Oryctolagus cuniculus: one gene and its partner. The protein of the gene in region 1 interacts with the protein of each later gene in a pairwise test. Links are inferred from orthologs where the notes say so. Each region holds a gene or a part of one and is shown on either strand. Other genes may lie near its edges.

Region 1 (3,521 bases):
CAAAATTGCAGTATTCTTATTTCTCTTTAGTATTGCATGAATGAATAAAGCTTAAACTATTCCCTGAAAAAGTTACATAGTAGCTAAACTAACAAATACCTGGAAGACTTGAAAAACAATTAAGGAATCAAATGGCTGTAACTGATCTAGATGGAAAAGCAATGATAAGCAGCAGCCGATGCAACGTGGCTGAGGTTGTCTAATCAGAGGCTGCTCCCGTGAAGCCTAATACTGCATCAGTCAATTCGTTTGTGTTGCACTGTACTTCTAGGTGCGTTGGTTCTCTCGCTTTGATTCCTCAGTCATTGGGGACGCTATGGTTCACGCTAAGGTCACTGGCATCCATACAATGGATCTCCATCCTTTGGCAGGGCTGGCTTCCACCACTCTCTGTTAGACTTCTTCTAAAAGTTCAGCAGCAGCAGGAAGGATAGGAACAGAAAGGGAGGGAGGGGAAAGGCAGGGAAGAGAAGGGGAGAGGAGAAGTGAGGAGAGGAGAGGAAAGGAGAGGGGAGGGGAGGGGAGGGGAGGGGAGGGGAGGGGAGGGGAGGAAGGAAATATTTCTTGCAACTAGAACCATTTAAAATTTAGAAGAAAAAGGGAAAATGAGAAAAGAGGAAGAGGAGGGAGGGAGGGAGGAAGGAAGGAAAGGGGGGAGGGAGGGCAGGCGAGCAGAAAGAAGGAAGGAAGGAAATGAGGGGAAGAAGAAACCACGAATGAAGGAAGCCAAGAAACAGGGAGGGGGGAAGAAGGCAGGGAGAAAACAAACTGGAGAGGAAGAGAAATGAAAGAAAGGGAGAAAAGATGAGCGAAAAAGTAGAAATCGTCAGGAAGACGCAGGAGTCTGAAGGCTGCTTCACAGTCTTGCTGCTAAAATATCAGTGCAGTCTTGGTTGGTTTTTGATGTTGTTAACTAAACTCTACATTTCTTCGACATCACTCTTGGGTTTATTTTCCCTTTTTTCGACGTGCAGGATGGGAAGGCCCAGGAAGCTTTTAGTCAGACCTTGGCCTCCAGCATTTCCAAAAAAAGTTTGTGCATGGGGACTTTGCCTTCGAGTTTGATGTTGTAGAAGTGCTGCACGGCCTTGGTGGAGGTCTGCCTGAGCAGCGGCAGCGTCATCAGCATCTTGCCGGCTCGGCGTGGGTCTTCCATGTGCTGGCCAGCCTCGTAATCCTGCAGGGCCTCGTGCAAGACATCCTGAAGCTTCTGCACGGCTTCTACGTCTTCTATGTGCATGGAGTCTGTACAACGAAGCAGAAAACGCAAGGAATCACATTAGTCGCCATCAACCGATGCAGACGGAAGTTACAAAAGTTAAGCATTGTTCTTGAACTTCTCAAAGTTCAGAGTCTCACATTTCCAACTTCCCCCATCAGCAATTTCAAATATTAGTTTAGAAGGTGGGAATTCCTTATTATTGGAAACTTGTGCTTTCTCCTAAGACTGGCCAAGAAAAGGCTATTCTGTTAACAGATGATAATCTTGGGTCTTTTATTCATTACCTCACTCATGAATTTATTCATTCAGCTCAACAATTATGGAAGGCCATCTATTAAAAGTATTATTCTAAGTGCTGTGTGAGATAAAGTTGCTTAAAATTCTGAACTTGGAGCAGTCATTTGGTGCAGTGGTTAATGTTTCAACTGAGATCCTCACACCCCACACTGCACTGCCTAAGTTTTCTGTCTGGGCTCCACTTCTGATGAAAGTTTCCTACTAATGCGTACCCTGGGAGGCAGCATATGACGAATGAAGTACTTCTGTTCCTGTCACCCACATGCAAGACTTGGATTAAGTTCTGAACTCCTGGCTTCAGCCTGGCCCAGCCCTAACTGTTGCGAGAACTTGGGGAGTGAACCAGCAGATGGGAGACCTTTGTGTGTCTCTCTGTCTTTCAAATGAAAATCAATTAAAAATAAGTAAACTGGGGAGGACATTGTGATTAAGCCGTCACTGGGGATGCTCATATCCTATATCTGAATTCTGAGTATTCAGTCCACCTCTGCTGCTGATCCAGCTCTGGCTACAAGCACACTCCAGGAGGCAGCAGATAATGGCTCAAGGAGTTAAGTCCTTGCCACCTAAATGGCATGGACATGGCTTCTGGCTTCAACTTGATCCAGGCCAGTTCTGGCTTTGTGGAAATTGGGTAGTGAACCAGTACCCAAGTATCTCTCCATCTGTTTTTCTCTTTATCTCTCTCTTCTGGTTGCTCTGCCTTTCAAATAGGTAAAATTTAAAAATTATGTTTCTAAAAATGTTAATATATTCTAATCTTGCCTGGAAAAAGCCCATATTTTCTAAAGGGGAACAATGCTGAAGACTAAGACCTTAGGAAGTCTGTGTCAACACAGTGAATCTAGCACTAGGCCAAAACAATAAAAAAGAAAAAAAAATGCTTATCTTTCTAGGATTTTGAATGTCCTACTAACTATTCTTCAAAGCATGCATGCACAGTCAACTTCCCTGTTGCTGAAAAGCGAATGGTGTCTTGAGATTATTGAGTATTCACACATATTTCACATTTGTGAAGGCGAACCTTGCCCTTAAATGACAAATTTGAAAATTAATCCAATCAAGCAAACAAAGGGTTAAGAAGGTTGCCACAATTATTCTTGTGAGAAATGTGAGATGTGGGGAAAAAATAAAAGTTACAGCTCTAGCTCTAAAAGAGACACTTAATTATATACAAGTTTGAATCATTTAGCACGTTTTATTGATTCTGATGACAGTTTATCTGTTAATTACACATAATGGAGTCTTTGGGGGATTCTTCATGTTTAATAATTCTAGTTCTCTGAGAACGCTGAGCTCTAAGATATATGTGGTTAGCTTAATCTTTCATACAATTCAAATATATATCACATGAACAAAATGGGACACAACATAATTTAAAATCAAGTGGCTAAATATATAACGTTAAAGAAATATGGCAAAGTAGTGAAAAGATAGATGGATTTAACTAGCAACATGTGTTTTTAAACTTCTTTGTATTTTGTATGTTGTTTTTTTTCTCTTATGCTGTTATTTTCAATATTTCACCATATTGCTGGTGAGAGGATCACAGGTTGGTGTGTACATTTCTTCCAAAGAATTTTGAATAATCTGGAGTAGAGCTGCTTTGCAAGTATTTACTGCTCAAGACTCGATTTCTGTCTGGTAGAAACAAAAAATTCTCAAAAAGGAAATAGCATTGATAATGGTGCCCTGGAGTATACGGAAGGCATCCCCAAAATACATCCAGCCTTTCCCCGTGGACTATTTCCACCTATGTTTCTCTCCAGCCTGGTTCCCCTCTACATGGTCATTCACCTATTTCATGTGCACACGCACTGTCTGCAGCCACGTGCAGCTATGGAAAAACAGCCATGGAAATTACAGGCATGCTGTAATAGGCTTTTCTTTGTTTCTTTTAAATGGCACCACACAATCACTCCTTTAATTTATATATATTTATATTTATTGGGGCCAGCACTGTGGCGCAGTGGATTAAAGCCCTGGTCTGAAGCACCGGCAT
Region 2 (2,715 bases), on another chromosome or scaffold:
TGCAAGAGGTACCAGGAACCCATAGTGAAGTCACTTTACGATTTTCTGCCATGTTTGTTCAAAGTTACAGTCACATAGACAACACATCTAAAAGGTGAAAGGTAATTAGGGGTTTATAATTATATTGAGTTCTGGAACTATAACTCTTCCTTATAGAACGTAAACTTGATTTCAGTTCCATAATGGTGTATAGAAATATCCCAAAAGAAAACTAAAAATTCTCATATTTCATTTTTATGAGGCTCTCCAACCAACACTGCTTCTTGTCTCCTTTTGGGTACAAAGACAGTCTTCCATGTAACTGACAGGTGTGGAAATGAAGACAGAGCAAAGTCTTTTCCTAACAACACTGGCAGGCCATAACATCAAATGCCATGTTACTTAGAGAGGTATTTTTTGCTTATGTTGACTAGGTTTTAATAAGTTTTGAAGTCTTAGTTAAGCCCCCAATGAAACTTTTCAGTCATGTTAATGGTTAACACCTTAAAATTTATTAAAATGTAATATTACAAATTCAATTTGAGCAGGTACATTGGAGTCAGTGACTAAGCTTTTGGAAATAGCTGACTAGTGGAATACCCTGCTCTTCTCTTAAAGATGTACAGAAGTGTGTTACTTGTTGACAAACGTTTTCCTTCACAATGAAACATCATAGAACAGAGGCTTTGTTAATCATCTATAACTAAACTATTTCTTTAATTGAATACAAAAATACTATGCATGTAAAAATAATAAGAAAGTTTATTTCACAATATTTGACATTCTTCTATCCACACCTCTTACACGGTTAACTTGGCTTGTATGGGCTAAATGGCTTCATAACTTCGCACAAAGCATCTCCAGCATCATATCATCCATGCTGACTGTGCCAATGATGGGCCTGAAGAACAGTTCAGCAATGACATTGGCATTGATGAATCTCAGCAGGAAAAGAGCACTGTTCAGTTCAGCGAATCTGGCCTGGTGCCCTCGGTGCGTCATCCTGACGTGTTCAGTGAGTATCTGCTGAGTTCCCCACTGAAGTCCCTGAATGTACTTCACGCACTGCAGGCCTGGCAGGTCTGGAGGGAGAAAAATCTCCTTGTTAGAAATGGCTCATCACAAATCCTTTGCTAGATTTTTAAATCTATCCTTTCTGCCTCTTCCCAATTAAACAAAAGCTCAAGATTCCTGATTCAAGGGTTTTTGAGAGCACAGATAAAATACCAAACCAGTTGTAAGTTTCCAGAAACAACACTTCCAAGAATGAAACATTAAGGTGATTTTCCTTATTAAATATCCACAATGCTTGTATACACACATTTAAAAATGCTGGCTGTGAGCCAACAAGTGCACGCCTAATTTGACAGTCGAGTATACTTTAATGAATCATTGTGCCAGCTCACTTTTTATACAAATATGAAAAAAAATAATGCTATCTCAGGAGGAGAGCACTGGGCTTTATACCATGGAAAACAGTCCACTGTACAATAAGTTTTGCCATCTGCAAATATTTTACCATCCGTCCACAAATTTCCCACCATGATACTGATTATTCAACCAATAGTGGTAAACTCCCCGGCCACAAACTGTGACTCCTGGGTTTCACTGTATTATTTGCTGCAGATCAATATTAATCTAGAGGCCCAAAATAATTTAAAAACTAATGCTGGCTATTTAGTTCATTGTATCATGGTTTCTGTATTGGGGGGCTTATAAAAAGGGGAGGTGCTTCTAATGAGTGTTCCAAAAGGCTTTTTAAATATATATATATATATAAATAAAAGATTTTAGAAATAATTCTCCTCCAGTCTTGAGAGGGTTAAAAGTAAATACTAGAATATCACGGACCACAACACAGTTCAAACAGAACTTTTTTAATAGACAATGCATGACCTCTTTTCAGTCAAGTGGATACTTAAGTAAAGTGAATGAAAATGCAACCCTGGAAAGAAGGATATATATTAATATACTATTTTATTATATTGTATTATATATATTAATCCTTGTACAGAAGGTGGTAAGAGGAGTCTGTTTTTAAAAGCCCTATGATTCTCCATGACAGTAATATCGTTCCAAAGTTCTTTAATTTGTATTCAAGTAAGTAATAGTTTATCATTAGGATTAAATAATGCCAATTATGATTGCAATCACTTCCCTTCCCTTTTTCTACAAAGTTCAACAGAATAATATTTTATAAGTATTATGCTAATCATCACAGAGTAGCAGAACCAATCAGTGATCTCTAAAAACTAATGGTGACAGATATGAGGCACTCTTCTAACAGGCAAATATCTGATCAATAAAATAAGAGCAAAATAATGCAGCACGTCTAACCTATACCCTAATCAGATTACCCAGTCCACACATTAATGTCTCCTACTACCTACAGCTCAACATCCAGGCTTGAAACTCAATTATATTGTTTGAATCCCACTGATGAAAGGAAGAGGCTTGCATGAAACTCCACCAGAAACTCAAAGTTCCTCCAGGTCCAGAGTCATGGTTCATGAAAACTTCATCTGTGACCTCCACGTTACTTTTCTCTGCTATCACACCACACCCATCCATGCCCACACCCTCCAAAATTGCGGCTTTTTCTGCAAAAGAGTCTTACCTTTAAAGTAAAGAAATAGAAATGGCAGGTGGGCTCCACAGTTTCCTAATTCTCCTTATCTTTATGTTTAAACCCAGAGAGTTTGTAGGAATAGAATTAAAAGATGAGTTTATTTTTGC

What was found.
Region 2: the proteins of ESRRG (region 1) and NR0B1 interact in binary tests that used the Homo sapiens proteins (3 or more experiments, as listed by UniProt). The link is inferred for Oryctolagus cuniculus from reciprocal best matches to the Homo sapiens genes ESRRG and NR0B1.

Annotation. Positions count from the first base shown.
Region 1 is NC_091444.1:30,737,155-30,740,675, forward strand, and holds part of ESRRG (estrogen-related receptor gamma), read right to left. Parts: intron 1,246-3,521; coding exon 1,001-1,245; 3' UTR 1-1,000. UniProt on the Homo sapiens protein: Orphan receptor that acts as a transcription activator in the absence of bound ligand. Binds specifically to an estrogen response element and activates reporter genes controlled by estrogen response elements.
Region 2 is NC_091453.1:16,770,244-16,772,958, forward strand, and holds the end of NR0B1 (nuclear receptor subfamily 0 group B member 1), read right to left. Parts: intron 1,062-2,715; coding exon 817-1,061; 3' UTR 501-816; downstream 1-500. UniProt on the Homo sapiens protein: Nuclear receptor that lacks a DNA-binding domain and acts as a corepressor that inhibits the transcriptional activity of other nuclear receptors through heterodimeric interactions.